Linked DNA regions of Coturnix japonica. The protein of the gene in region 2 binds, or shares a complex with, the protein of the main gene of each other region. Links are inferred from orthologs where the notes say so. Each region holds a gene or a part of one and is shown on either strand. Other genes may lie near its edges. The genes, in order: DBN1 and ZMYND8.

Evidence for each region.
Region 1: the proteins of ZMYND8 (region 2) and DBN1 are in contact, whole or in part, in a crystal structure (PDB 5Y1Z), measured with the Homo sapiens proteins. The link is inferred for Coturnix japonica from reciprocal best matches to the Homo sapiens genes ZMYND8 and DBN1. Residues at the interface, in NP_001350670.1 of Homo sapiens: Gln167, Pro168, Gly169, Thr170, Gln236, Ile237, Val240, Lys243, Ile244, His247, Trp269, Leu285, Gly287, Phe288, Phe307, Gly309, Gln310, His311, Asp312, Ala314, Thr335, Lys336, Ser337, Ile338; in NP_004386.3 of Homo sapiens: Met1, Ala2, Phe6, Ser7, Arg10, Leu11, Leu14, Tyr17, Glu18, Asp92, Ala93, Cys96, Ala97, Ala99, Ser100, Lys104, Glu107, Phe108, Gln110.

Annotation. Positions count from the first base shown.
Region 1 is NC_029528.1:11,956,564-11,972,125, forward strand, and holds DBN1 (drebrin), read right to left. Parts: upstream 10,637-15,562; 5' UTR 10,527-10,636; coding exon 10,441-10,526; intron 6,731-10,440; coding exon 6,675-6,730; intron 6,589-6,674; coding exon 6,476-6,588; intron 6,313-6,475; coding exon 6,238-6,312; intron 6,163-6,237; coding exon 6,016-6,162; intron 5,928-6,015; coding exon 5,850-5,927; intron 5,773-5,849; coding exon 5,621-5,772; intron 5,535-5,620; coding exon 5,471-5,534; intron 5,374-5,470; coding exon 5,314-5,373; intron 5,223-5,313; coding exon 5,108-5,222; intron 3,969-5,107; coding exon 3,831-3,968; intron 3,202-3,830; coding exon 3,073-3,201; intron 2,368-3,072; coding exon 1,793-2,367; intron 1,704-1,792; coding exon 1,601-1,703; intron 1,529-1,600; coding exon 1,458-1,528; 3' UTR 765-1,457; downstream 1-764. Other genes in the region: PRR7 (proline-rich protein 7), read left to right, coding at 1-382. UniProt on the Homo sapiens protein: Actin cytoskeleton-organizing protein that plays a role in the formation of cell projections. Required for actin polymerization at immunological synapses (IS) and for the recruitment of the chemokine receptor CXCR4 to IS.
Region 2 is NC_029535.1:5,074,598-5,090,385, forward strand, and holds the end of ZMYND8 (protein kinase C-binding protein 1), read right to left. Parts: intron 14,315-15,788; coding exon 14,162-14,314; intron 13,416-14,161; coding exon 12,912-13,415; intron 11,866-12,911; coding exon 11,491-11,865; intron 10,100-11,490; coding exon 9,909-10,099; intron 9,384-9,908; coding exon 9,303-9,383; intron 8,697-9,302; coding exon 8,618-8,696; intron 8,047-8,617; coding exon 7,807-8,046; intron 7,641-7,806; coding exon 7,483-7,640; intron 7,164-7,482; coding exon of another isoform or gene 7,149-7,163; exon of another isoform or gene 6,050-7,148; coding exon 5,955-6,049; exon of another isoform or gene 2,805-5,954; coding exon 2,792-2,804; coding exon of another isoform or gene 2,703-2,791; 3' UTR 2,614-2,702; downstream 1-2,613. UniProt on the Homo sapiens protein: Chromatin reader that recognizes dual histone modifications such as histone H3.1 dimethylated at 'Lys-36' and histone H4 acetylated at 'Lys-16' (H3.1K36me2-H4K16ac) and histone H3 methylated at 'Lys-4' and histone H4 acetylated at 'Lys-14' (H3K4me1-H3K14ac).

The DNA.
Region 1 (15,562 bases), on a different chromosome or scaffold from region 2:
CCTGTCGAAGCCGCCGTGCTATGAAGAGGCGCTGCTGATGGCCGAGCCCCCCCCACCCTACAGCGAGGTGCTGATGGACACTCGTGGGCTCTATCGCAAGATCAATGCGCCCTTCCTGAGCCACGAGCGGCTGGAGAAGCAGGAGCAGCCCCCCAGCTACAAACCCCTCTTCCTGGACACCGGCTACGGCTCCGCGCTGCATCTGCCCCGCTCGGCCAGCCCCGGCCCGGCCTGCCCGGACCTCTACCTGCAGGCAGAGTGCTCCCCACGCATGTTCCCCAGCTGGACGGACTCGGAGCTCAGCAGCAGGGACACCTTCGAGCCGGGGCCGTGGCACCTTCCAGTCTCCATGCCCCTGTTTGGCAGGACTACGGCTGTGTAAGGGAGGGGCCATAGCCACCCAAGGGTGCCCCTCCGACACGAGGGCGCTCAGCTGCCCTCCCTGGGTACCCCATCCCCGGCGCGGGCCATCGCCGCCAGCGCGGAAGGGGCTGGTTCCCCCTCTCGCCCCCACCTGTCATCCCCTGCTGGCACCCCCGCGGCCGGGGGGGGCTCGGAGCCGGGCTCAGACTCTGCTCTGTTTCTTATTTTGTTTGTTACAGTTTGAGAATAAAAGTTTGTGGATCCGGCTCGCCTCGGATCCATCGCCACGTGGGGCAAAGGGACCCCCAGCATCCACACCAACCCCCCCCACATCCACAACAACCCCCACACACACCCGCACCTCTCCCCCTCCCCTTACACCCCCCCCATCAGACAGCAGCCCCCGCGGGAGTCGCTTTATTTATTAACATACATCAGCACGCCGCCGTTACAGAACTTGTGCTTTCCAAAAAACAGTTATACCGTATGGAGGGGGGGGTTGAGGGGGGGGGGCCAAGCGAGGGGCAAAGCAGGGAGAGGGAAATGGGGACGGGGCGAGCCCTGCGCTGGGGGGGTCCTGGTGAGGAGGGCATCCCCACAACCTTGCAGTGCTTTGGGGTGGGGGCACCACCGGCCGCAGCCTCGCCTCGGTAGGGTCACTTTATTGCCATATTCATTTATTATTATTATTATTATTATTATTCTTTTTTTTTCTTTTTTTCCTTTTTTTTTTTTTTTTAACTCGTGCAAAGTACTGGGGAGGGGGGAGGGGGACAAAAAGAGAATGGGGCCCCCATCCCACAGCCGGGCACCACGGGGGTCTCATGTATCCCCCCCCAGAACGGGGGGCTGGGGTGGGGAGGGGCCTACAAGGGGTTCACAGGGCCAGAGGGAGGGGAGAGGGGAGGGGGAGGGCTGACACGGCTCCTACCGACAACTTATAAAAGAGAAAGAGACGGGGGGGCTGAAAAAGGCACCCCGGGGTGCTGCGGGGCGGCCCCCCCGGCTCCATCCTGCGGGGCCCCAGCAGGGAGGGGTCCCCAGCCATGGCCGCTCGCACCCCGCGCCGGCGGGGCCTCCATGCTGCGCTGGGCCTACAGATCGCCCCCAAAGCTCTCCTCCTCCTCGGGCAGCGGGTCGGTGTCCCAGCACGTGATGTCAATCTCTATGGGGATGGGGTTAGGGGGCACCTCGCGGACTGGACCCCCCCATACCTGTTCCTGCTGCGCGCACTCACCTGGCGGCTTGTTGTAGAAGATGGGCTGCGGGGCTTTGGCCGAGGGCTCCTCGGGCGGCGGGGCCTCCTCCTCCTGGGACTGGCTGAAGTAGCCCTCGCTGGCCTGCGGGATTTGGGTGCCGCCATTTGCAGGCGCTGTGCCCTCACCCCCACCCCGCTGTGCCGTGACCCCGCAGCCCCCATGGTGCTCACCTGCTCGCCACGGCCCGCAGTGCCGTCCTTGGGGCCCATCTCCCCGTTGGTGATGGGGGGCACCTCGTGGCCTTCCTGGTAGCCCTCCTGGTAGCCCAGCTCTGTGGGATGGGGCCCACCCGCCGTGGCCTCCTCCTCCTCCTCCTCCTCTTCTACCACCTCCCCATGCTGCTCCGTATCACAGAAGGTGGCGGGGGGCTCGGGCAGCTCGTCCAGGCCCAGCAGCGTGCCTTCCTCGGGGGGAGCCGGGGGTCCCGCAGGGGTGTCGGGCAGGGGCCAGGTGCTGGTGGCAGCGGGGGCTGCGCCATCACTCTGCCACAGCTCGATGAGGGGCTCGGCCACAGCGGGTGTCTCCGCAGGCTGGGGGTCGGCCACAGCGGGCGCTGGGGATGGCTCCGAGGGTTCCAGGGCCACCAGGTCCCCCAGCACGTCAGCCCCTGCTGTCCATGCCGGCCTGGGGTTGGGGTCGGGCTCGTCTCCTGGCGGCTCTGCAGCTTTGTCCTCAGGCCCAGGGAAGGGCCAGTGCTGCTCGGTCACCGCCAGCTCTGCCACCTGGGTGCTGGGGCTGGGGGAGTCTGCAATGGGGGGCACAGCGGTCAGAGCCCACCATAAGGATGGCTGAGGACTGAGGGGCAGGTGGGGGGAGCTTTGGGCTGGGAGATGATGGTGAAGGGCAGGTGGGATGGGTGGGCGGTAATGGTGTTCTCTGGAGAGGCAGTAGGACACGGTGGGGGTGAGAGGAGCACTGGGGAGGCAGGGGAGAGGGCTGGGAGCTGGGGGGCAAAGGGAGGAAAAGGGGCGGAAGTGCACAATGGAAAGCAGGGATGCACCAGGGGAAACAAAGGAGACAAAAATTGCAACAGAAGGTGCAGCAGGACAGATGTGTTCCCTGGGATGCAGTGGATGAAGGAAAGGATGCACCGGGGAATGCGGCACATCCAGCAGAGACGCATTGGGAACATGGCAGCCATGGTGGGGGATGCACTGGTGTGACACGGCGCAGACAATGGGGAGTGCACCGTGGGCTGCACCAGAGACAGCAAGGAATGCAGCATTGTATGAAGGGAATGCACCAGTGGTGGTGGGGATGCAGCAGCAGGGAGCAGCGGATGCGGCGCAGATGCAACACGGACGGTGGGAATGCAACAGAGACGCATGAGATGCACCGGGCGATACGGCGAGGATGCACTGAGAGCTGCAAAGGGGACCCTGGGATGCAGCAGCAGGGGATGCAGGTTTATGAGGGGGGATGCAGCAGGCAGCGCCAGTCCCTCGCCCACCTTTGGGCGTTGCCGGCGTCTCTTCGGCCGTGGCGCGGGCGCGCTGCTCGCCCAGCGGCGTGGAGGCCGGGCTGGACTCGCAGGGGCTGCAGCCCATTGCCGAAACCTTTCGGTAGTCGGACTGGCTGCCTGCAGACAACGGAGACACGGCTTGGGGGGAAACGCCTGCACTGAGGGGTGAACACCTGAACGGGGAGGGAGCAGCGCCCCAGCGCCCCACAGCGCTCTGCCCAAAAGCTGTGAGACGCACGTTGCAACACAGCCATCCCCCCCAGTTCGAGTCCCTTCCTTGAGCAGGAGGGAGGCCTGGTGCAGCAAGCCCTGCACCCCTCTGGGCAGCCCCACAAGCTGCAGTCCCCAGCCCTGCTTTGGCACACGCTGCCCATACACTGCCCCACTGAACCCTGGCACAGCCTCAGCTCTCTGCAGGCACCACACAGTGCCCACTTTCTCTAGCTGGAGGGTCACGGCACCACGTGCCTCCTCCTGCCCCATGGGCACAGCTCCACACGGTCCTGGACACAGCCTCATCCATCCCTCGCTGCCCCGCAGGCGCAGCATCACATCCCTGGGCACGGCTCTGCCCTGTCCCCATTTGACTCCTGATGCATCGCGGGGCACAGGAGCTGCCCCTTGGCCCCCTGTGCTTGGCTGTTGATCCCACGGCTCTGTCCTTGCACCCTGGTCCCACAAGCAGCAGAGCTGGGGAGGGGTGCAGGGCCAAGGGGCTGCGTGCCCAGAGGCTCCCAGCTACCTACATGGGAAGAAAGAGGAGAGATTTGGGGTGCGGTGGCAGGTGATATAGGGGAAGGGGGTCCGCGGGGGGGAGGAGGAGGAGGAGGAGGAAGAAGGCGGCCCACTGTCAGCTGTCTTTATGAAAGGACAGTGCAGACGACCTGCCAAGAGAAAGACAGACAGACGGACGGAGAGAGAGAGAGCAAAGAGATGGGTCAGTCCCTGCTCAGAGTGGCCATGGCGGGGCCGGGACACCGAGGCACCGGGATGGGGAAGACGGCAGGGAGGCAGCACTGACAGCACTGACAGCAGGACGGCAGGACAGCAGGACGGCAGGACAGAAGGACGGCGGGACGGGAGGCAGCACCAAGGCCGGGTGGGCAAAGGGGCCAGGACACAGCCTCGGGGCCATCTGTCTGCTCAGGCACAGCGCATCCCTACAGCAGGAACCCACAGCACAGCCCACAGCAAAACGCACAGTGCTGCCCCAAGGCACAGCTCCACAGTGTTGCTCCAAGACATGACCCCACAGCACTGCCTCACAGCGAGAACACTCAGCACAGCTCCCCCCAGCACAGCCCCCAGCACAGCCCGCAGCGTGATCCACAGCACAGCCCCACAGCGTGTCCCCATGGCAGAGGCACCCACCAGAACAGCCAGCACCCAGAGCTGCAAGCAGAGCCCCAGGGCTGCACCCTGCACTGTGGGGCAGCCCAGCACCCCCTGCCAGCCACCCCACCTATAGTCTGCTGAGAGTCCTGCTGCCAGGGCCAGCAGGTACCACCAGACCCAGAATGGGCATCCTGCCCTGCTGTGTACAAGCAATGGGGACCCTTGGGCACGTACACTGTGGGATACACAATGTGCCACATGCATCCAGCCAGGGGCACACCAGGTGCCCCACATCAGCCCCACAGCAGTCGTCCAGCCTCAGCCCCACCTCTGCCCCTTTTCAGCTGTCGAAGCTTCTTTCCCAAGCCAGCACGCAGTCCCCAAGATGCCACCACAGCTGAACCATGCTGCCAGGAGGTGCAAAGGGCACCCAGCCATGAGCAGTTTGAATTCCCCCATTGCAGGACCCCTTCTTTGCAGCCCCAGCCCTGTCCCAGTGGCAGCAGGTGCCCATCTGAGGAGCTGTGACAGTGGTGGTGCTGAGCAGAATGACAGCAGTCCTCCCAGTACCCAGAACCACAGCAAAAGTGGCAGCAGAGGACACCCACCCCTCTGTGGATGAGCTGCGAGTGCCCCGGTGGCAATGTACTCGTGTACTGAACCCCCCCTGTGCTCCTCAGCCCCTCACCTGTCCTATGGCTGCCCGGCGAGATGGCGTCGCTGCTGCCCGATGCCACCCGCTCCTGCTGCTTGAAGAACTCCCGGGGGTTGTCGGGTCGCTGGGCAATGATGGCAGCAGCCTCCTGCAGGGAGGAGCAAGGCTGGGACCTCCAGCCCAGGCAGCAGGGGGCTGCCCCACACCAGGTCCCAGACAGCTCTGGGTGCTGAGCTCACCTCCACCTCTGACTCTGATTTCCGGAGCTGCTGCCTGTCATCCTCCTCTTGCTGCTCCCCCTGCAAAGATACGGTACCATCACCCCGACACCATCACCCCGACACCATCACCCCTGACACCACCACCACCCAGTTCCCAGCTCCTCGCGGCACTTACAAAGATGGACTGCTCCTTCAGGCGCTGCCGGGCCTCCTCCGCCTCCATGCTCTGCTGCTTCCTCCTGCAATGGGGCCAGGAGCAGAGCTGAGCGTGGTTCCCTCCACCCCCCAGCACCGCCGACCCTCACACCCCCAGCTGGCCCCATGCCTGTGCTCCTCGATCTGCTCCTCGCGCTCCCGGTAGCGCCTCTCGCGCTCCTCCTGCTCCAGCCTCTCCTGCTCCATGCGCTCCTGCTCGAACCGCAGCCGCGCATCCAGCGCCTTTTTCCTCTCCTCCTCCTTGCGCAGCTCCTCCTCTTTCTGCAGGGATGGGACGTGGGGTCACAACCCATCCCATGGAACACCCCGTGCCCTCCGCCCATCCCTCGCCGTCCCACCTTGGCTTGTTCCCAGAACTGCTCCCGGTTGAGCCGCTTCATCTCCACGGTGGCATCGGTTTTCTGGTAGGTCGTGCCCTGAGATGGAGCAGAGTCAGAGGGTGTCAAGGACAGGGCTGGGGTCAGTGCAGGGGATACCCTGACCACAGGGACATGGGGACGTTACCACGGGCTCGGCATTCTCGTCCTCACGCAGCCTCAGGCGGTGCAGCACGGGGCTGGAGACACGCGCCAGCCCATTGGAGAGCCGCTGCCCGATGGCCCCTGGGTCAATGTCCTCCACGCTGCTGGCATTGACAATAACATCCACACCCTGGGGGAGGTGGGGGCAAAACTCATCAGAGACCCCCCCGCAGCAGGCCCAGTCCCCATCCCCGACATCACCCACCTGGAAGAACTCGGCGATCTTGGCCACGTGGCTGGCACAGGCACACTTACGGGCGTCGGGCACATCTTCACCCACCTACATCATTCAGGGGGGTGCTGAGCCAGGGGGGGGTCAGTGTGCCCCCACCACCCCGCTGACAACCTGCACCCCCCGTGGTCACTCTTTTGTGCCTTTCTGCAGTGGCCCTGGCTCAGGACCCCGTGTTCAGCAGGAGGTGTCCCCACGCTGCCCAACTCACCCAATTGACGAGGACATATTTGGGGAGCACGGCCTGGGGCTCCTTGACGCTGCAGAAGCCGTACATCACCTTCTGGATCTCAAAGTGCCCAGAGAGCTCCAGCAGACCCCCTCCTGGCACAGTGCACAGCACTCTCAGCACACGGCAGCCCTGTACCAGGAGCCCTGGCTGAAATGGGGGTTGGGTGACATGACCTTACCTCCTGATGCTGCCAGCTTCAGGTCATCGGAGCCATCCTCATATGTGTAGAGGGCCCTGGGGGAGTGCAGGGGGTAAGAATGGCTCTGCACAGCATGAGGCAGCCTCCCCACCTCCCCTTCTGCTGCTGACACTGAGCCCAAGCCAGGGTCTGGGGACCAGTGGCATTGCCAAAGGTCCCTTAATCCACCATCACACAAAGGATCCAGCACAGATTCCATAGCACAGGGCAGCTCTCCTGCACACAGAATATGGGGCAGGGCACTCCACCGCACAGCTCACAGCTATGGAGCGAGGCCCCAAGGACAGGCACAGAAGGGTCACTCGGCACAAGGACCGTCTGGGTGCTGCTGCACTCATCCCACATGACGCAGTGCTCCCAGCTGCCCATACACCCATCCCTGTCCTGCAGTCCCATGGGGTCAGCTGGCTTTGGGGACAGCCTGCATGGGGCCGCTCACGTTCCTGGCTGCGTGAGCCACTGGCCCGCCAGGCACCAGGCTGGGGGAGGACGCCAGAGCTCCAGCGGCAGCAAATCAATGTGCCGCCGGGGTGTGCTGGGGCCGTCATGGAGACTGTTCCTTGGAAACCATTCCCCGCGGCTGGGAAAACCCTCTCGCACCCCCGCTGTGCCCCAATGAGCCCACCCGGGGCTCCACGGGACCCCCTGCAAGTCCCCAAGTGTGGGCAGGCAGCAACGTGGGGGGAGAACGCCGTGCCCTGAATCGGTCCAGGGCGGGTGGGCGAGGGGATGGTTGTTGCTAAGCAACCAGCATCCTCTATCTCCATGGCAACCCCCCATCCCAGCTGGGATGCAGCTCGCCCCGATGACGAGGTGATTAGTGGAGGGGAGCGGGGGAGGCAGGCAGGCAGCGGGGACCTGGCGGGCGCCCAAACCCACCACCATCACGCGCTGTGCCCGGGGAGCCGGGGCCAACCGTGCCGGACTCCCCCCCCAACCCCCTCCCAGATTATCGTTTTGCTGGGTGGGCGGGCAGCTCTGCCGATCGGCAGCAACACAGAGCCAAAATCCCTGCGGTGCTGGGGAGGGAGGAGCCCACCCGAGTTGGTGGCTTCCAAGAAGGGGATAGGGAGCGAGGATGGGAGATGGGGAGTGAGGATGGGAAGTGGAAGTGGTGAAGGAAAGCAGGGATGGGAGCAGGAATGGAAAGCGGGTGCCCCCCATGGGCAGAGCCCCGCACCAGAGCCACACAGCTCCATCCTGGGCCTCAGCTGCCTCCTTCCAGCTGAGAAATAACAGGAATTTAAGGCCTTGCCTAACAAAGAGGGGGAAACAAGGCTCCCTCCGCCCTGCAGCACCCGTAGCCCCCAGTCTCCCCCCAGCCCTGCTCTCGCAGTGAGCTACAGATAATTGCACCAACAAGATTGACTTTAATCCGCACATCCAAATCCCGCTAATCGGCCGCCTGAGCCGACGCAGCTCCCAGGCTGGAGGCAGCAGGGAGGCTTCACAGCGCTGAAAAAGGCAGCTTTTCCAGCCCTGGCTCTGCTCTGTTCCCCCAGGGACAGGGCTGCAATGTGGGGGGCTGCAGGCAGGACCGTGGGGTTCTTAAGGCAGAGTGAACAGGATGCAAAAGTAGGGCACAGCCAAGGCATAGCAGCCAGAGCACCCGCTGCCTGCTGCCCACCCCCTCATCCCCCTGTGTAGGGCAGCACCCTGAGCACATTGCTGCTGCTGGCACCCAGAGGTGCTCCTGCAGCTCAGCACTGCGGGTTCTGCCCTCAGAACAGCCTGTTCCAGCACCAGGAGGGACAGTTCCAGTGTTCCCAGCCCCACACAGAGCCCAGAGCATCACCATGAGCAGGGACCAACAGCACCACGACCCCACGGACCATCTCCTTCCATGCTTCCATCCCCCCATGCAGCTTCCCCAGCACCCGAGCTTTGACATCACCCATGGGTGACACAGGGACAGGCAGGGAGCAGGGGATGCTTGTGACCTGAATCTCCCCATCACTGACAAGGGGGCAGAGCCCACTGCCCTTCTGCAGCCTCCATTGCTCTGTGCCAGACCACAGCGGTTCTCCCGCAGCCGTCTGCCCCCCATGCAGGGTCAGGAATGGGGGGGTGCCCTATTCTGCCTGCCCCAACCCGGGCACATGTGTTTCCAATGTGGCTGCGAGCTCTAGGGAGTCGGCGTGCTCAGAAAGCAGCACCAAATTCCTTTCCTATCGAGTAATGGGCCCCAGCAGCCTCCGCGAGGCTGGGGAGGGGGAGGGGAGCCTCGGACCCTCCAGGACTGGGCTGGGGCGGGGGAAATCCCAGACTAAACATCCCGTGGCCACGGGGATCCCGGCATCCCCCGAGCCAGCTTAGAGCCGCACAGCGCAGCGTCCTCAGAGCCCCGGCTCGCCCTGCCCAGCTCCAACATTTGGGGACAGTCCCCCAGCCACGATGGTCCCCCAGCACCGCTCCCCATCCTGCACCGAAGATGGGCACCAGGCCCTGCAGTGGAGATGCTGCTCCTGCTGGCGCTGGGCACCAAGGGTGATGGAGGACTGGAGGAGATGGGGAGCACGGGGCTCAGACACAACAAAGGAGCTGCGGGGTTCAATACTGGAAGAGGGGTGGCCCACTCCCAGTGCTCGCCTTCCAGGGAATTGATTCTGCTGCTCTCAGCAGCTTTGGCAGGGAACGATCCTTTGCAGCAGATGCTGGGAAGCCAGATGTACCCGGGGCTGACAGCTGCCTCCTGGCCACCAACACGCTCCGCACTCACCCACCGTGCCACCAGCAGGGCTGGAGGGACCCAGAGAGTGGGACTGGTGGGGGGGGGCCATGCTCAGGCCCAACCAGCGGACACCCAGCAGGAGAGCAGCACTCAGCCTGGCAGGAGCTCAGCACGCATGGCACGCACCAGTCCCGGCTTCTGGGGTGCGCACAGCACCCCCACGCGACCACCCAGGGGACAAGGGCAGGGGGTCCCAGAGGGCAGCTGGGCGCTGGGGGCGGCAGCGATGGAGCTGCGGTGGGATTTGCTCCCTTATCAAAGCTGCATTGTAGCCTGGAACCACCAGGCCCCCAGCACAGGGTGCCAGAGGGATCAGGGTGCAGGTGGAGCACCCCAGAGTGCCGCCACCCCCTGCTCCGCTCACCGCATCCCAGCCCCGGGGCACCCCGCACGGCCCTCCCGGGGACCGGGTACCCAGCGCTCCCCCCGGGGCTGCGGGAACCGGGAGCAGCGGGGACGCCAGTTCCCTCACAGCTGCGGGCCTGGCTCCGCCGAGACCGGGCTAAGGGCTCCCCGTCCCCGCTAACCCACCCCCGGTTCCAGACAATGGCAAAACTCCACCGCATCCCAGTACCGGGCCCAGCACCGAGGGTCCCCCAGGCCCTCCCCACCCGCCGCTCCCCACGCGCGGTGCCGCCAGCAGAAAGGAGACGGGGCTCGGAGCGGGGCTCCCGGTGCCCCCACGTGCCGCCCGGCGCAGACAAAGCGGGGCCGCGCCCCGGCCCAGTGCGATGCGGTGCGGTGCGGTGCGGTGCGGCGGGCAGGTGCGGGCACCGGGGGCGTTGGGCCGGGCACACCTCCTCCGCCGTCCCGCCGGCCCCGCCCGCCTTTGTGTGCCGGGGCTCCGGGCCCGGTGCAGGTGGCGGGGGGCGGCGGGGCGGCACGGAGGGCGCAGCGCGGGGCGCGGTCCCGGTGTTGGCGGCTGCGTCGCGCTCGGTGCACCGGGCGGCTCCGCGCACAAAGGGCCCCGGGCGGCGGGGACAAAGGGGCGGCGGCGGCGACGGGCGCGCTCACCAGTCGGTGGGGCTGTCCTCGCCGATCACGTCCTGGTAGGAGGCGAGCAGCTCCAGGCGGTGCGCCGCGAAGCCGACGCCAGCCATGGCGGGGCCGGGATGCTGCCGGGGGACCGGAGGGACCGGCCGCCTGCCCGCCTCCGAGACACTGCCGCAGCGGCCGGGCGGAGGGGCGAGCGGCGGGGAGGCTCCGCCCGCCGCCGCGCCCGGTCCTAGCGCCGCGAACGGCGGGCCCCCCCTCCGCCCCGGCCCCCGCCGCTCCCCCGGGGCGACCCCTGGGGCACCCACCCCCACCGGCACCCGCCGAGGGGCAGAGCTCCTGGAGCGGAGCGCGAAGCTCGACCCGAGGAGCCGCTCTGCACCCCCGGCTCCAAATCCCGGCTGCGCTCCCTCTGGGCACCCCGAATCCCGCGGATGCGCCCTCGGTCCGCTCTACCCCGGGATCCCCGTGATCTCAACTTCCCCCACCCCGTGCACCCCCGGCCCTGGAACTTTCTTCTCCGAAGACCCCACACTGTCCTCTCTGCCCCGTTGTGCCCTCAGTGCTCCAGGCCCAGCCTTTGGGGTTGCCAATGGGATGAAGGGCTCCCCTCCATCCCCGCTGCTGTCAGATGTGTCCCTCTGCTCCCAACCCACCCCGGGCCCTTCCAGCCCTCGACGCGGACATCATCTCCCCCAGGTTGTGCCTCTGCATGAACCCATAAAGTTCTTTCCAAGCTGCCCCCGTCTGTGGTTCCGAGGTGCAGCCGTCTCCATTTGCTCCCACACGGGTCAGCACCCTCCTGCGAGGGACAGACACGGAATCACCCTGCCCGCCCCACGTCTCCAACCCAGGCAGGAGCCGGGCCCGCAGCAACCCGAGCAGTAAAGTGGGTTTAAACACGGGGTCCCGATCCCTGAAGGTCAGGGCACGGTGCCGGTGGGCGCAATGTACAGCGGGACGCAGCGTTTCGCTGCTCCCTGCCCACGCCCTGCTCGCAGCGGTTCCCGATCCGGAGCCGCCCTGCGATGCTGCGGGGTTTGGGCAGCAGCTGTCGAGCAGCTGCCGGCCGCGGCCGCTCCGCGATGGGCTCAGCTGCCCCTGGGGGTGGGGGCGGCGCGGGGAGCCGCGGGGCTTTGTTCTCGGAGCGGCGCGGCCCCTCCTCGGGCTCCACCTCCGCAGCCCACCCGCGACCCTCCTTCCTGTGCGCGGGGAGGGCGGGGGCCGCTCGGTGAGGCCGGCAGAAGGGAGCGGAGGCTGCGGGTTGCGGAAGGGCAGAGTGCGGGGGGGACTTGGCCACCTGCAGAAGGGCGAGCGGGGGTTCCTGCCCCCGGCAGAACGCTCCAGCGGATGAGCGAGGCGATTTTCCATACATCGCTCATCACGTTGAGGGCTGCAGTTATTACTGACCGCTGCAGCTGTCGGATCGGAGCGCTGGGAGCGGCCGGCCCCACATCCATCGCTCCAGAGCCTGTACCGGGCGGCGGTGCCTCCCGTCCGTCCTTCGGGGCACGGCCAGGACCGCTGTGCTCCAGCTGCTCGTGCCGGTGACTCGGTCCCTGCACGGGCAATGGGGCACAGCAGGAACACAGGGACGGTGCTGGCTAAGTGCGATGCCCTTGCGAGGTCACGGCTCAGCACCATCTCCTGCTCAGCGCTGCTGTTGCTCTGCCCCCTGGATTAATTGCTGCCTCGCTGCTCTCTGCTTGCTAAAACCAGGCAAGGGCAACCCAGGGATCTGCCAAGGTGCAAAGGAGGGGAAACCCCGGAAACAAAGCAGGACTCCAGGCGGGACAAGGGCCATGTGTGACCTTCCTGCCCCCACCAAACCGTGCCCAGCAAAACCACAGTCCCCAGACAGCGGGCACTCGCAAAAAAGTGTTTATTCAAGGCACTAAAAGCACCGTGGCTACATCAGACGCAGCCCAACTGGAAAGTGGGGGGGTTGGGAGAGGCATTTACAGTGCTGGGACAGCAGTGGCACACGCTCTTTGGTAGAAAGCAGTTTTCAAGCCTGATGGGAACCCATTAGCCAGAGGCTGGTGTGCACCCCCAGCCTACAGCGGGGGCAGGCATGGCACACAGTCCTGCTCCATGGCACGGGGGTGCTGCCATAGGCAGCCCCACAGCCCCCCTAGCTCTGTGACATGCAGCCATGGGGGGGTGGGTAGGAAACCATGGTAGCAGACTGCCTGGCTGTGGGGTCAGTGCAGGCAGGGGGAAGAAGGGCCAGTGCTCAAGCCCTGTGTGCTGAGTATGAAGTGGAGGAGGTGAGGGAAGAGTATGGCAGAGGCTGGGGGCAAGGACTGTCCCTGCCCTGGTGCTGAGTGCCAAGGCAGCCGGACCCCATCAAAGCAAAGGAGCAGCCCTGATGCAGCCAGACCCTCCTCCAGCTCCAGCCTCAGCACGGCCACAACCATCGTGCTGAGCAGCTTCGGGGCAGGAGACCTTTGTGGCATCCCCTTCCCTAGGGTCCTATGTCAGCTAGGGGGCACAAAAGAAGCCAGCCAGCTGGAAGGAGCCAGTGCTGCTTCTGCCAGGGCCCGGCCAGGAGCTGCCAGGAGAGAGGCAGGAGCAAGGGGTAGGAGTGAAGTCCCAGCCTGGCTCCCTGGGGCAGGGGAAAGGGTGGGAAAGGAGCATGCAGGGCCAGGGGCATGCACAGGCACAGCTGAACTCTTGCCCCTCACACGTGAGAGAAAGCATGGCTCTTGCACAGCGGCTTGTCCTTCTTGGAATAGAATGTCTTCCCTTCCAGATTGGTCTGGCAGATCTGGGGAGGAGAGCACAGGCAGTCAGGAGGGCTGAGCCAGCCCCTAGTATCCCCTCCCATACACCCTCCCTGCAGCCCAGCACAGATGTCAGGGAGCAGCAGGCTCAGAACTAACAGGACAGAGCCAAGTGGAAACCTGATGGCAGCATGCACCCCATGTGAGACACAGCTCACAGCAGGGGGAAGCAGGGAGAAACATGGCTCACCGCACAGACGAAGCAAGTGTCATGCCAGCTGAAGCCCAGTGCCTCCAGGAACCGGTCCCCAGCGTCGATCTTGAAGTCACAGCCACGGCACTTGGTGCCAAACATCTTCTCATAGTCTGTGAACATAGGCAGAGCACAGGTCAGTGCTTCCTCCAAGACTGTAACCCCTCATTCTGGTGCAGCAGGGCTGCAGCACAGCCTGGGCACAACTTGCTTTCAGCTTTGGAGAGGGGCAGGACTTGAAGCACAAGAAGGCACTGGACACTTGGGGAAGGGTGGCCCTTTCCACCACTGGGCCACAGGGAAGAGGTGAATCCCCCCACCCAGGATGCAGCACTCACATTTGATGTAAATCATCCATCATCACCACGGCAACATGCCAGCAATGGCACCACCCAGCACCAGGGAGGATGGGGATGGAGGGTTTGCGGGGGTCCCCTCCCTGCTCTGCACCCTGGACTTCACTCTTCGGTGCTACTGGGCATGTGCTGAGCCCCACCAGTGAGCAGCACCCCGGGGCTGTGTGGGGTGCCGTGGGGTCCTCCCCTGGTCCTACCTCTCTCACAGTAGGGCTGTCCCTCCTCCATGTAGAAGGCACGGTTGCGGATGGGAGTTTTGCAGGCTGCGCAGGTGAAGCACTGCACGTGCCAGGTCATCTTCAGCGCATGCATGACCTCCTGGAAGAGAACCGCTGTCAGCCAGGAGGGAGCACCCCACACCACAGGGAACCCCAGCAAGGGCTGAAAGGAACCGGAGACCCCTGGGGCAGGACGAGAAGGGACAGAGCTGGGGACACACAGGTAAGCAGGGATGGGAGGTGCAGGGCAGACTGAGGGACACTCACCCCAGTGATCTTCTTCTTGCACTTAGCACAGCTGGGTGCATAGCGCGTGTCGTAGCACTTGGGGCAGAAGATGGAGCCCTTTTCCTCAAAGAAACCACCCTCATCCAGCACCTTCCTGCACTGGCAGCAGGTGAACTCCTCAGGGTGGTAATAATGTCCCAGGGCCACGAGGTAGCGTCCCCTGTGGTGGGACAGAGCCACATCAGCCACAGCGGGGCCTGGCAGTGCCCAGGATGGTGGCAGGGCTGCAGAGGCCGGGGCTCACCTGATGATCTTGTTGCACTTGAAGCAGAGCGGTGTGCGGCCGGGGCCCTCGGGTGCCTGCTGGGCTGCCTGCACAATGGAGCTGCGGTTCTGCATGGGGGTCGGCGTGGCCGGCTGGCTGTGCTTGCTCAGCACCGTGCTCGTCTTGTCTGGTGCGTAGCGCTCAGCAAATGAGGGGTCCACAGCCCAGGGCGGGCGGCTGGTAGGGCCAGGGGTGGCAGCAGGAGTCCTGGGGGCTGCACAAACAGAAGCCTCTTGGATGATGTTCCCAAGCCCTTTGCACCCACTGGTAGGCGAGGTGCAGTACCAGCCCTACCCATAGCCCCGCTCCCCTCACCCCAAACTCAAAGAAAATATTTTTCTCACCCAATCCTGGTTCTGTCTTCATTGCTGCCCCCGGGGATGGGTCCGGTACGGAGACCTGGCTACAAAACCACCAGTTAATCCTGCTGGCCACACTCAGCCCCTGAACCCAGGCTAGCTTGTGCATGCAGGCAGGACCCCCACTCTGCAGCCAGGAGCTGGCCAAGCACCCATGCCCAGCCAGTAGCTACTTTGGTGCTGGGCTTGGAGCTAAGCACCCTCAGCCCCGCAGCACCCCCAGGTCTGTGGCACCCAGCAGGGTGGGAGCACAGGAGCACTGTGCCCTAATGCTGAGGTGCTGTGGGCTGGCAGGGACTTGGGGAATCACACACAATGCTGCTTGCTCCATTGTGACAGTGTCCAGGCACACCTCCACCTCACACACAGCATCTGGTAGTGTGGGGAGCCCTGGGCCAGCTCCAGCAGAGCCAGGAAGGGCAGGGATGGGTTGGTACCAGAGGGGGCAAAGTCTGTGCCCCCCCCAGCACCCTGCCAGCACTGGGCTTGTGAGAAGCCAGGGCAAGCAGCACCCAGAGGAGCAAGGACAGTGTCAGATGGAAAGCCAGTGCCTTTGTGCCTCTTGAGGGCAAGGACAAGAAGGAGGTAGCTATAAAAACCACAAGTGTTTAATTGCAACGGAGCAAACCAGGCAGATCTGGAACTGAGTGGTCACGGCACCAAGGCAGGAGGGGTGGG
Region 2 (15,788 bases):
GAGAATGGAAGATCATAATACAGAAATTTCTAAGCTCAAACTCCAAGAAAAGATGATTTTGTGCCCCAAACCAGAGATACCAGCATTAATGCACCCAGATGCCTCTTAGTAGGTTATAACAGAAGACAGGAAACCTGGGGCAGCCGATGAGTGAAGTTTTCCCAAGATAACACACAACCCCAGAGGCTTCTCATCAGTCACAGTGCCCACAGCAGCTGAAGACCAAGGATTACCATCCTCCCTGCAGTCACTGCAATGCAAGCGAAGACCCTCCAGGATGGAGTCTGTCTCCAGAAAATCAGGAAGTCTACAATCAGAACAAAGTAATTTTCCAGACCCACTGATGGTTCCAGAACTCAGCTCCCAAGGAAAAGAGATGCTACTCTCTATATAAGTAATTCACCTTAAAGTAGGGGCCTACCCTTTATGCTCATATCACATCAGTGTTATCTCCCCCTGTATGTCCAAGCCAGGGATGTGTTCTTCCTTCACTTTTAGTTAAAATCTTCAGGGGGAAAAAAAAACAAACAAAAAAAGAACTTCACACCATAACCAGCCAAAACGGGACTAAAAGCGGTCACCAATATATCTGAGATTCCTTGAATCTTGGCCTGCTAACAAGTCTTTGCTGGGATCCGTCATCCATGATTCCACATGAAAGAAAAAAAACACTGGTTATTGAAATCTAAAAGGAAAATAATCACTGGAATAGAGGCTGCAGAAAGCACTGCGTGTTCTCAGCCTCTTTGAATCGCTCACCTCCTTTCTATTTCTTCAGTGACGGAGGTCACAATGTTATTAATCCAACGTTCCAGCCACATTTCAGAACATCATTCCAGGCTTGCAATATTTGTGCTTCTCTTTAAGCAGTAGCACTGAGAACATTGACTTTGTCTGTTTTATAAGTGCCTGTAACAAAATAACCACATGAGCAGGTACTTGAACAGCCGGGTTTTATAAGGAGCCGTTTCATTGGCTCGCACTGTTTCTTCCATCAGATCCCTATGGAACACACAGCAGCCCTGCCCCAGCTCCTGCCCTCTCAGAGGACTGCAGCACTGCTCAGCAGGCAGCCCCCATCTCAGCTCACAAACACTGAGCACGACTGGATCTACTATTTCTATCCTTCCCATCCAGCCCCGATGCAAAGGCGGTCAGTGTAACACAACAAGCACCGGACCTCTTCTGCTAATAAACGTCACCAGGTGTCACACTGCAGACTGAATGGAACTGGAAATCCAGGAACACAAAGCACTTTTCTAAAACGGTTTAATAAAAAGCTGTGAAGTTTCTTGGAACACTGCAGGAACCCAAAGCGAACCACGCGTCAGCTCTTAGTCACAGAGAAACACCACTTTCAAAAAAGATATTTAAGTTTAATACAAATTTTATACAAAGAAAATGTGAAAAAATACTTCCATATGCTAAAAGCAATTATGCTTCACAAATAAGGCCAGCTAGGCTATTTTTGACACAACTGCAGTTCACGAATATTCTGCTCTCGCCTTTTTCTTCTAAGACTTTCCCCCTAACTCGGGTTCTAGCTGGAGACTGTACAGACCGCAATCTTTTATAAACAATGGGAAAAATCAACATGACTAAAAATGTACAACAGAATGTACTGGAATGATATCATACATTAATTTTCTCATATACATACATCACCTTTGCTTTGTTCAATGCTTTCGTTTTACACAACGTACAAAATGGTACTACAGTATAAGTGTAACAGACAGCATTTCCATGGGTTACTTTCTCTCATACTGCACTGCTTCATGCTTACATAAAAACATAAATTCCATCATATAAATAATACATGCTCTGGCCCAGCATCAGAAGTCCTTTGCCCGCGTTTCCTGATCCATGCTTTTCTCCACACCCCAAGCTCTTGTTCCACGTGAAAAGCTTCTCAAAGTCCTTTGTAGAGGATTAGAATTAAAAATAAAAGATAAAAGGAAGAAAACTGAACTGTGAAGAATAGGAAAAAGAAAACAACCCTCTCCTCTGTGAAATCAGTGATACGACAGCACGGCACCAACCAGCTGGTGTTACACTGCACAACTCCTCACATATCAACCTGAATGAAATTCACCTTGTTTCTTGTAAACAATTTTAACAGTCTGGTCACTGTAAAAAAAAACAACGCAAATCTTTACGTATCTCAGGTCCACAGACGGGAAATGTCAGAACTGGCCTAACACAATGAACAGAAAGAAAGAGAGCCTTCATCATTTGGTTGAATTCTACAAGAGTCTCCAAGTGCAGAAATGGTTCTCATCCAAATGCAAATCGAGTTGTTCAGGTTCTTCAGGTTATTTGATGCACGACTGCCATTTTCCCAGACCAGTTTTCAGTGTTAGCTTATGATAAGGCTGCTTTAAACCTTTCTTTTCCAACTTCAAACACTCTTTATAAGTTAAAGTCATACAAATATAAAAAGGAGATGGAACTCTAACTTCAGTGACATCCACAAATTGTACATTATTTACAAAAGAGGCAGAGATTTGACACGGATCTTACCTGTCCTCAGCTTTTCTAAGCCAGCGCTAATGCTTTACATTAATGTAGTGTAGTTAATGCTTTGTACGTTTATACAAAGCTTAAGTCTGAACCTTTGAGGTTAATCCAAAGAACTGTGTTTATTTTTCACATTTCTATTAGATTTATATATTCCAACAATTGTATGGACTTCTTGTTAGCAGTTAGACTCTTCGTACTTGGACTGGCATTGTGGTCTGAACATACTGAACTCCAGTTCTCATTGCCACTGTCCCAGCAGAAGGACTTACCGCTACAGGAATGGTCTGTGGATTAAAACCAAGAGAAACATATTGTTATGTTAGAGGTCATATAAACATGACCACAGAAATAGAGATTTATCGTCCAGGGAAAATCCAGAACAAGCTCCAATTTTGTGCAAGGATTAATACCTTTATTACCACAATATTACCTCATTCCAAGGCAGAAAGTAGTGTATTACTTTCCTATAGCCAAGAGGGTTTTGGGTTTTTTTCCTGTATAATTGTTCCTTTATAATTACTGGGACCAGCTGTTCCTATAGGTACTGTACACACCCTACCTATGCTTGGAGAATTAGGTTTTCAAAGCTACTACATCCAGTTATGTATTTTCCCCAAATAAATTCACAAAAAAAAAAGGGCTAAGAAAATCCTCCGTCATTTGAAAAAGTTCCACCAAATCAACCTGGAGTACAAAAATACCCTTGTCTGTAAGTACACCCCTTACATCTCCCCACCTCCCCACAAAGGAATTCCCCCACGCGTTCAGTCTACACAGAAGAGAACAAAGAACATCCATTTAAACCAAAAAAAAATACTTAAACTTCTGCACAAGTTGATAAAGAAACCATCAGCATTTCAGCATTTCTGGGAACTGGCTCACACTCCTTGCAAAAATACTCATATAGAATAAATTTTCACTTCCATCGTACAGATTATGATCTATAAATCTTAACAAATGAAGCTTCAGGACATCTCTATGGGTAGAAATGGATTCTACGGATGCAGAGACAAAGGCACAAGAATGTTAAACAATCTGGTCAATGTCACATCACTCTGGAACGTCTGGAGAAGGATTTATTGGATCTTAAGTCTGAATCTTAACCTTCCTACAGAAACGTGAGGAAGCTCAGGAACGTTATGCCGCACAAACTGGAATCATGCTTTGATACAGCGCAGTGCTGGACAACTGGAGACCAAACAAACGCATCCAGTTCAGTTCACAACACTTTGTGGAAGAGACGAGGAGTGAGAATATGAGAAACCTGACAGGGACGCCCAGGATTCCCCCTTAAGGTCAGTGTAAGCTTCCAAAGCGAACACGGGAGAACAACACACAACTTCACTGAAGCCCAATGCCTTCCCCCCATCAATCCGAGAAACCACATTAGTGCCTTGATGGTGTTCAGGAAAGACTGAGAATATCCCTACTGAGATGGGTTACAGCCTCGTGTTGACCAGCTCCTTTGTGACACAATCCGTGCCCTTCCAGAAGCCTACTCATAACATCCCCTGGAACGCAAGGACAATGAATTTAAATGTTTATGGCATTTTAACCACAGAAAGAATAAAAACCAAACCCAAAATCAGTTCTCTGAATAAATTCAAGGTTTTTGTCATTTGATGATGAATTTCAGAGGTGTAAAGAGGGGTCAATGGAAACAGCACCCAGAAGATGTATTGAAAGTTGTTCAGAGGGAGGAAATGCCTGGTTGGGAACAAAGTGCAAACTGAACTCAAAAGAAGCCATTATGAACATCACTGTTAGCACTACAGGTGGGGAAATTAAGGTCGCCACAGCTGTCTTTTACATATACACACTTACACAACTGAAAGAATTAATTTCAGTTGTTGGAGTGCTGGGGATATGGAATGTGCAAGACTCCTTAAATGCATTAGGATCATTTCCCTGAGAGGTAAATTTTCCACCTCTGCCAGCTTTTCACATTTGTACATTTTGCATACATATTAAACATGCATTAAGGTTTAAAAGTATTTAAACTGCACGTGCAATCATTAGAGTACAGAGGTGTCTGTAGCTGTGCAAGGCTAATGCAAATGTGTACCACGCTTTGAACATGCACAAATAAAGGTCGAAGCCTTCAGACGTTCCACTTACGCTTCACATCACTCAACATATTCTGTATTACAGAAAACTGATGGGGGTCACTGCCATTTTTCTGAACATTACATGAAGCCACTTTGCGATCTTAGCACCTCTCAACTATTCACAACAGAGACTAACATCTGCCATGCCCGCCGTTCCACTTCAAACACACAAAAACTTGTTACAGCAATTCAATTCAAATGACTTCGGGCCAATCCTGCAAAGGTGCACTGTGCTCTCAGACGGGACAAACAAGTCGAGTGTAAATGCTTAGGAATGTGATAAGTCATGATATCCACTGAGAATAAATTCTTCCTGTTGAATGTGATGGCTATGAAACACTGTGTGTGTGTGTGTGTTCCTACACACACGTGTGCAGATGCTGCAGTGTGTGCGGGTGCACGTGTATCCGTGTGTGTACACAACGCAAAAGAAAGTGACTCAGCTAATGAGGCCTCACAGTCACAATGTTAAACTTGCGCTTCTATTCTCTAGTTCCAGTCAGAAAACTAACTGAAGTTACCTAAACGTGGGCTTCTCAGCTGAGCGCACCGCGTGAGACAAGGCCTGCAGCTCAGTCAGCACTGCAGGATCAGCGTTTCTCTGTTTGGTAAGAGGTCAGCTCAGACTCCACGCTGACCCTGCAGTGAACACTGCACAACACGACCAGCTGAAAGAACGTGACATTACGGTACGCAAAACATAAAAACCAAACTCACTGCTGTCCCATCTCCAGTGACTGATAAAAGGGTATTCAAGTGTCCTTGGTTAAGTTCTCAATGGAAAAAAAAGAAAAAAACAACAGGTCTGAATTCAATGCTATTTCTCAATTTCACAATGCTAATGTGCAAGACTGCATGGGAGACACGCTACCAATGAATGCATATTTTTCTTTCATAGTTACTGAGATGTCACGGGAGTATCGAGCATAGCTCAGAATTGGTTAAATCTCTTTAGGATACCATAGACAAAAAAAAGATATTTAAAAGATACTTTAAATGAATTCTATATATTTACATTGACGTGTTCAAGTATATACATGAAACGGACAAATAACTAACACAATAATGTAAAATGGAAGTCTGACTATCCTCAGTGCCTCACTGTTCTTAAGGAGAGCTCCTGAATCCTTGTAATAATCAGTGATGAAATGGAAGGGTGGAATGTTGCACAGCAAAATAGGACATTTTGCGCTGCAAATTGAAACTACACCAGTGAATTCATATCTTGATAGAACAGCAAATGGAGACAACCCCCCAGAAATACTGTGCAATTTTAATGCCAGGAACAGAACTACTGCAGACTTTAAATGATGAATTAGTACTTACATTACAATTGTGTGTTGAGTAGTTGGAATATAGGTGGTGGTCTGCGGTACCTGGACCAGTTTTATAGGCTGGTTGCTTGTCACACCTGTTGCTATCTGCAGAGACAGCACAGGCAACCTCAGTAAAAGTCTCAGCTTTTACATGAATTCCACCTAGTCGTTATTATTTTATGAAATTTATGATGGATGTTTTGTTTGAGCTAAAAATTTGTATCTTAATGAATTCACAGGTTAATTCTTTGTTAATAAAGCAAAATTCAAATTATGAACATGATCAATGTGTACAGCATGATGTTTCAGGTAGAATACCTACGTGAAAGCAATTCCAGATCAGTATAACTGGAATATTCCCTGGCCAAAGTTTTAGGCAATTGATTTTCTCTGATCCCCTTTTCTCCCAGTAGTACAAAGGTCGCGCTGCCACAGACAATACATACGAGCTTCAACTGAGACAAAGAAGTTCAAAGAACTTCCCCCCGGTTCAGGTGGGACAGCACATCCTTTATCCCTTCTTTAAGTCTGTTTCTCAAGTTACTCCCTTAGATGACATGTCAAGCCCAGAGATCTAACACCAGACAGTAGCAAAAGTGTCAAGAAATGAACACAGCTCTCTATTATACTATGCTTCCCAATTCTAGAAGAACTATCTCAATGAGACATCATGCTGGAATCACAATACTACAAAATTAGTTTGCTTTTAATATTTTAAAATACAACAAGGCTCCTACTGATGTAGAGGATCAAGTGTAAAGGGTTTGAAGGATAAGCCCCCCCATAAAACTTTTCATTTAATAAATCTTGCAAGGGCAGAAGAAAAACGGTGCTGAAATTGCTAATAGTCAAGCCCTACCTATAAAGCAGAATCTTCTCTATAAACATTTTTTATATATGCAATGTTAAGTCCCTTTTAGTAGAGCGTTCGCTCATCCTTGCCTACTGAATACTATCAGAGTAGATGCTATGGAGGATTTCGTAATTGTACACTGCTCCGTTAACTGTAGATCCAGGTGGACTGTTGTATCAGTGTTATGGAACACTGCGGTACCCTATCGGCAGTCTGTTGTGATAAAGTAAGTTGATTTGAATGCAGGTCTTGAGCTTGGCCTCTGAACCTCCAGGCAAGAAGGGCTTGGAAGTGCTGCAGTCAGTATTGCTTATCAGAAGGCAACTTGTATCGAAAGATCCAGACCAGAAGCTACACTGATGGGTCCTGGAGAGAGAGAAAGAAAGAGGTCCAGTCCCCCTTGGCTGGAAGGATGAGTCAAGCCAACACAAGTTCTTATTGGGAATGAGTGCAGGGGAAAGGGTGTTCCCAGAGGACAGAAGGAGATTTTTCCCAAGATGACAGGGGGAAAAACAAACAAACAAACAAACAAACAGCCACAATTCTCTCTCTTATTCCCCAAATCACACACTTGAAACCTGCAAATGGCCATAAATTCCTAGCTGACCCAGGGAGGCCTTTAGGGGCAGGTTTCAGAGGACTCTTAGATACTATTTTTGTTTCAAGTGACCGCAGTAATACTCACTGTAACGCTTTCTTTGCTTTTATCAGTTGAAATGTCCTTTTCCTTGGGGGTGCTGGCTGTTTCCGTGGGCGTGGGCTGTGCACTTGAGCTGGGCTGGGATGATTTATTTAATGTTTCTGTGTTAATTTCAGTATCGGTTTCTTGCTGTGTTGCAGTAGCTAAAGAAAAAGAAGAAAGAATAGCCACTACTCTCGTGCACCAGTCCTCAATCAATCCTAACAGGCATATCTGCATACATGCAAATGACGAACACTGAATCACTGTGTATTACCACCCACCCGAGCTCCCCTCAGCTGTGCAACATGCAAACCAGAGCAAGATTACCTGACTGTGTACAAGATTTCATATGCTCAGGCCAGTGAGCTTGTTGGCAGGGGTAGTCACAGTAGCTCGTGTTCCAACAGCAATAAAAAATGGCCTCTTTCTTGCAGTTGGCACACCACTGCTTCTTTTTAGTTTCATCCACTGCTTGCTGCTTTTCCATTTCCAGCTGCTTCTTCACTTCAGCAATCAAACGATCTCGTTCCTGTTCAAGACTCTGACGCATTTCAGCCATTGTCAGTTCTACTCAAAATACAAAGATAAATCAATTTTGCCTTTCCATGAAATGAAAGCTAATAAAATATTCCCCAAACTTAGGTATATCTGCTTCATATCCACTCAGCAAACACAAGTCTTCCATTAAAGCCACTGCCTATTACTACACTCCATGATGCTGGGCACAGAGGTGAAAATGACTGGCCTGCAGTTCTCCAGCTCTTCATTTTCTCCTTTTTAAAGGAATGGGAGTTACGTTCCCCCTTTTCCAGTCTGTCAGAACTTCACTGCCACAGTTTCTCTAAGATACAGATTGTGGCTTAGCAACTTAATTGACCACTTTCCTCAGTACCTCCAGAAGCAGCTCATCAGGTCCCCTGAGCTTGTGAACCTTCAGGTTTTTTAGAGGGTCTCAAATCTGGATGTTGTTTACTGTGCACAGATAAAAGTAATCTGTGTATGGACTGAAATGACATCCACTAATACTGACAGCACATCCTACAAGGTGTTTGACCCTTCACGTGGACAATCCACAGTATCTATGATGAAGGCAATGTATATGACAAGCATTCAGATTTTGTGTTTGTCTTTTTCATACCCAGATTATGCTTCATTTCTGAGAGTTCCTGCTGATGTAACCACTGAAGCTTTTCTATCTCAATCCTCAAACGTCGAATCTGAATATTACAGATAGATATTAAATGTTAATATTTGGTAGTGAGTACAGAATATAACAGAACTATTACACAAAAAACCAAGGCTATAACAAAGAGTTTGATCGTCACTTACATTAAGGCTCCTTTTTAACAACATGGGTAATAGGTATCCTATCTAATTTGAATGTTTTCCAATCATAAAAAGTGCCAGATTGTTTGAAAACAAAAACCACTTCCATTAAACTTGGTCTTACATCTAAAATTCGTCAGGTCTCCAACTTCTCTAACCACAGTCAAAAACCTGTTTCTAAGTTTTGCTTGTATTTTTTCATGTGCCATTTCATTGATTCTTTTATTTCAATGAGCCCAGACTTAGGAAAGCGAGTTTTTCATTCACTACAGACACCGCTGCTCCCAACTGCAACGTCCCTGTTTTGTTTAATACAAACTAAAGATTATATATTTAACCATGATAATACGGTCAGCAAACTTAAAAAGAAGTATTATATCTGTGGTCATAATCATGTAACTCTTATGGTAGTATGTGATTACGTGGCATTTTTATGCACAAAATTTTTTTTACAACTTCTAAGTGTTACACAGACTCCCTTCCAATCTCACACTAACCTCAGCTATTGTACTTCCAGTGGTATTCTTTGACAGATCGTTATATATTTCAGTCATCGTTCCTTTGATGGCATCCATCATCTGAAAGACAAATAAAAGTTTTAGATGTATCCTTAATAACCATTTCAACCACTCCAATGTGAACCTGTATTACTATTAGTATCTATATACATATATATATATATATATATATATGTTTTTATGAATCTCCTTTTGAAGGACTGTTTTAGGCAGTAGAAAAAGTGTGTTTTACTGAATGCACACGATCAATACTTAGTGCCTACTGTAACTGTGGTGGTGAGGATACCTACACCTCCGGGAAATACCAAAATTGTCCAAAACATGATGCAATGTAACCAACAGAAGTAATGGGGAAATAGGAGAGAGAAAAGGTCTGAAGTGCCTGGGCAGCCAGAGCATGCCATGCTTAGCATCTGGCTTAGAATGACATTGTTCAGCTACTCCTACAGTAATAGCTGAGTCTAACTGGTTCTACCTACTGCTTGTTAATTTCTAAATAACGTTTTTATTTCAGAACTTGGAATTTTAAAAGCTCTGAATTTCGTTATAAAAATAAGTTTAAGGAAATCTTGTTTGAGAACTTACTTTGCTCGTGTATTTAGCAATGTCTGCAGCCACATCAGCTGAAGCTGTAGCGATTGGCAAGTCTGTATTAAGTGAGGAAGAAAGTGTACTTGCAGATCCAGAACTTGTGACCATAGAAATAGGTTGAGTACTTGTAACCAAGGTTATGGTTGATGTGGAAGTGCTCTGGGTGATCTCTTTTTGCTGCACAGCTATGGAAAGAACATAGAGCACATCATTAATCACAAATGATTGTGAAAATGAATAGGTGACTTCTAACTTTAATGTTCATTAAATTATGCACCAAGAAAACTTCAAGATTGTTCCTATTTGTACAAAGGTGCCAATTATCAAATAGATTTTATAACAACCAGCCACTGAACTCATGTACAATTATACAGCTCGAGGACAATACAGCAAAGAACTTCAAAACTTACAAGTTTAGACTGGTCAGTGCAGAAGTCTCCCTCTGATCTGTTCTGCCCATCGTGGGACTTTCCCATCCCACCTCCTAATCTCCCAACTTGGAGAGCTCCCAACTAGTCCCATAGGTATGAGCATAAACCCATCTTAAACATTTTCATTTGTCACCATTTGAAAGAACATTATGGACTTTGTTTCACTAGAAACAAGATTTATTGAGCTACTTTTGAAGAGAGCTTTAGGAAGAATTTTAGTTGTACTCTCTGGTGTTATTTGCATTCATTATTAGTGCTACTAATTATTGTTAGTTTTGTGTTCTGACATGTAATGTAATACACCCAGCTCAAACTTAGCCTCTGGTTGGAGAGTAAGGAATGTAAGGTGAGGTTAACTCGTTAAAGCAAAGAATTGATATACAGTTACCTCAAGTGGGATGGAAGTCAGTAAGCAGGATGGCTTTGTCACACTTGCCAATATTTCAAATAATCTTAAAACAGCTGGTGATTCAAAAATAAGAGCCCAAACCAGGACACGAAGAGCCTCAGCCTTCCATCCCTAATGGTGTACCTGCCTTAGTTTCCAACTCATTTTTAACAATTCACATTATTAAAGATCTCAGTTGATGATATCCTCAAAAGAGAAATTACTGAAATAAAATGGTTCTTCAATTTAACTGTGTACTATTGAACATCAATTCAGTGTATAAGAAAATCTATATATTTTAGAGTGTTTTCATGTGATATTTTCTAGCATATAATACAGAACACAGCTACGATGATTAAACAAATCAGCTTCCTGGCAGATAAAACTGGGTACAGACTGTAGATCTGAGGTAACAGTGGTAATTGTGCAACTGAAACAGAATCAATGATTTCATTGTGTAATCCAGAAAATAATTCAATTTAGTCTTTCAAAACTGATGGCTAAGAACAGCGAGGATATTTTGCAGATACACACACAGACAGTCTGTCATTCAAATAAGGAGATATGACTCTAAATTCACACCAGAAAGAGCAGGTATGGTGAGTATGTGGTTGTGTTTCATAGTCATTTATCAAAGAATGACCACACTCTGAGATTTTGTTTACATGGAAGAATTCCTGGTTATGCAGCTGGGAGCACTGACATCACTACTGGGGGATTATGGCATCATGGGCACATTGAGTTAGAAAGTGTGTACCTTTAACTGCTTGTCTCGTCTGGTATCTTGTCCCTTGAGAGGACTGAGGTTGCTGTGACTGAGACTGCTGATTCTGCTGCTGTTGCTGCTGTCTCTGCACCTTCTGCATGTGCCATTTCTGAGAAGATGTCTGAAATTTATTTGAAGAATTCCACACTACTCGCTGCACTGCAGGGGCAGTTTCCTTCGGCAGCAGAGGCCTCTGCTTCTTCACAGGGCTTCCAGTGGCTGCAGATGGAGCACTGACAGTAGAAGTAGCACTAGTAGTTGCTGTCACACCAGCTGGTGGAGTCTGGGACGCAGAGCGGGTGAGAACTGGAGTTTCTGGTAGGGGCTGGGTGCTTGCACTGGAAGAAGGTGGAGTTTTACCTACAACTAAACAAAATGTAACGTCAGCTTTTCACCACCAAATCTGATTCATAATTTTACACCACATTTTTGAAAAGTCAGATTCACCTTCCGGAATAGAAATTCTCATGGAATTAGAAAAGAATCATAGATTCATCTAAGTTGGAAAAGACTTTCATGATCACCAGGTCCAACTGCCAACCCAACCTACTGTGCTCCGTCACCAGTCAAGTTCCTTAGGTGTCACAAATGCACATCTCTTAAATAACAGCAGGGACTGGGACTCTTCCACTTCCCTGGGCAGTCCATTTCAATGCCTGATCACTCTCCTGCTCATGATTAAATTTTTCCTTACATCCAATCTGAACCTCCACTGGTGAAACTGAGACTGTTTCCTCAGGTCCTATTGCCTGAGAAAAGAGGCTGACACCTTCCTCACTGCAGCTTCCTTTCAGGAAGCCATCATGCCACAGACATAAATCATGTTAATCAAGCCTTTCATAGCCCATCCTGGCTGCTTGTAAACAAAAACCTCTCTGGAAGAACAAGAAGTTATCATTCGTTAAGATGTTTCTAGGTTACCCCTTACACCTGTCATCCCAGAGCTTATAGACCACTGTTCTGTGTATCAGATCCCGTTCTCTTGCTGTGCAGCCTGACAGCGAAACATTAGCACTGATCAAAGAACTGTCTTCCCTGGGCTGATAATCCCCTTCCCTTAAGGTTTAGAGCCCTTTCTCTCCCCTGCATAAGCATAAAAGTTCCCATCCCCCTGAAAGCACTAATTTCAATTGGAACTCAGACTATTTGTATCTCTGAAAAATTCCAGTGATTAAACAGCTGCGATTCTGGGACGTGTATGGGAATACTTTTTTTTTTTTTTTTAAAACTTAATCCAGAAATTATAACAGGGGCTGAAAATATCATTTACTCAGAAAGAATGGAAAATCATTCATGAAGATCATGTTGCAGCACAGATATTTTACCATCTCAATGCAAAATCAGAGCTAACAGCTCTGACTGGAGCAACAGCGCAATGATAAAGGAAGAAATAATTCAGAATTTTATCCTACCATCTTGTTTAGGAGGAGGTTCTTTTGATTCTTTCTTGTTTTTCCGTCCTTCACGCCCACAATGATCATCTCCCAGATCAATGACCAGTTCGCTCTCAGAATCAGAGTCCAGTCCGAGATGCACTGTTGGAGAGTCTGTTTCATCTTTACCCTTCAGTTTTTCTTTTGCAGGATGTTGCAAACTTTTTCCCTTTTCAGAAAACTCTTTGTCAGTGTCTGTAATTGCCTTTTCTTTCACTGGATCATCTGTTTTCTCCACTTCTGGGCTTGTGCTTTTAAGTTCCTCCTTATCTTCATTCTGCGCTGGGGGCTTCAGTTTTTTTTTCAAGCTTAATGACTCTTTGTCACTTCTTGTACCTTCCTTATCCTCTCCATCTTCTTGATCGTTCTTTGATTTCTGATCCTCATCACTGTATTCACTGTCACTGGTGTCAGACTTTTCAGAATCTTCAGAGTCACTGTGTTCTACTGCAGTATAAACAGCTTCAGATATTTCATTTATTCCTAAAGGTGGGGAGGAAAGAACGTTCCGTATTAACATCAGACTGACTGGTATTACCAGAGGAGAAAGGAAAAAAAAGGCAAAACCCCAAACCCAGCCCTCCGTAGAACAAAGTATATGTGTACCACTACTCTAACCATCAATCCTTCAGCTATCAGCCTCTCCCTTAATGCACTATCTCAGTATCAGGATAAGCGAGAATTACCTTCCATATATACCAATTCTTACTTTTATTTGATACAACGCTTTTTCACTACCTACAAGCTGTAGCTTTGTTCAGTGTTGTACCAACACTGGCAAATATTAAGAGGAATGATCAGTAACTATAAGAAACCACCTTAAAATTAGTAACACCACTCAACTGACTGCAGTTACTTCTAGTCATGTTTGAAGAATCAGCTTCAGACTGCATGACTTTTGTAAGGAGAACCTGTAACTTTTTAGTGCCAAGGAAATCTTCAATTAAATGCTAGGCAGTGTTAGTGCTTTTTAACAGCGTGACTGGGTATACAATCTGTGCAGCTAACGTAAGTTAGGCACTGATCTTTGTTTTTTTGGTGTACAAAGCCAGCAGTACATGTATGGATCTGTCCAACCACCTACATCAGAATGGTACAAAAACAGAACAAAAGCTGAAAGCTTTTTGGCAAAAATCAGAAATGTCAGAAAATAAAATTCAAGATTTTATCAACTCAACATTTTCTCAACTGTGAGCTCCAGGTTTCCACTGCAGACGTGGGATACTCACCAAGTTGTGCTTTACAGCTCTCTATTGTCTTGTCAAGATTAAGCTGGAACCTACTACGTATCTGTCGCTTTGGTGAGATGAGTGGCACAGGGGTGGACTGCTGCTGGACCGACTCGCTCAGCTCTTTCAGATCCATCTCAGCTTTGCTTCGATCTAGGAAAAGGAATTGAGAAAAATGTTTTATGAAGAGAAGAAAGGTCACCGTCCACGTGAGAGAAAGCTGACTGAGTAACAGCACAGACAACCTGAAATGTGAAAAATGGGGACAAAGAGACACTGTAACACCTCCCCAGGGAGTCCTGCATCTTAACATGGAAGTAAGTCTCACAGCCCAAATTTATCTGTCTTGCCCACAAGGGGGGTCTCACTGAGAAGACCCAAGTTTCTGATTTGCCTCATTAACGCTGCAGTAAGAAACCAGAGCCGGAGGGCAGACAAACCCCCTGAGGAGAAATCTTCAAATTCTCATCTCCAAAGTCTTCACTGTTTCTTATCATCCACCTCAGGAATTTCACTCCTTATTGTGTTAAAGTTGTCTGTCTTTTTCTGTCTCCATTTCACAAGGACAGGTCCTGTACTATACATTTTTTCCAAGCAATCTGTGTATATCTTGGTTATTCACACCTCCACTTTTCACTTTAGCCAGTCTACCAGCAACAACTGATGGCTCCTTTCCACTGTTTTCCCTTCCTCCTTGTTGAACTGGAGGAGGATCACAGAGCCCTTCTAGTATTCTCCTTAAGATACAAGTTTTTGTTTTGCATATTTTCAATTTTGCTTTCTAGGGGAATCCCGTTTCACACAGTGCTTGAGAATAAGACAGCACGAGTCACATCTGAAATCCATGGGTTCTGCAGATACAGTCAGGTTTAGTGCAGCTGAAATGAAATCAAATGAAGGGCTGCCGCTTCCATTCCTAGTATCACCATTCATTCAAAATGTTCTATGTTCAAGCTGATGCCTCCCATCTGTGCCTCAAACAATTCCCATGTGATGTTTCTTTTTTTCAAATGCATTGTTACATCTGATAAGAAAGACAATCAGCTGTGGCGCAGCAAGTCATTAATTCCATGGGTATGTCCACAAGCACAGATGAACACTGAAAAGCGTGGTATATTTAAACAAATGCAAAACTTGATCTGAACCTTCCTTTAGCATTTAGTGAAGACCAGGAAACATTCTGTCATTCCACGTAACATCAATTGGATGGAAAATGTATCCAGAACTGAATAAGAACATTCATAGAAGCAAAACATGATTGAGGAAATGGATTTACATCTGTTTGGCTTTCAGAACTATTTTACCAAAGCAGTACTTTCCTAATTCAATTTTCCAGATCTCAATCTCAGAATCTCAGTATATCCCTTGCTACAGATGGTCAGCAAAGAACTGACATCTAGGTTGCAAGACCAGAAGACAAGTGAAAACGTCATCAGCAGTTCATGTAATTACAAGCTTTAGAAACTTACCTACTGTTCAGAAACATTTATTGTACAATTCAGCGAAGAAATCATCCATTAACTACTTCTTTTGATCAAAAAGAAACAGCAAATTTCAATTCCACTTACAAAATATCAAATATCTTGATTGATGGAACAACAATTACAAAACGCCTCATTTAAAGTTC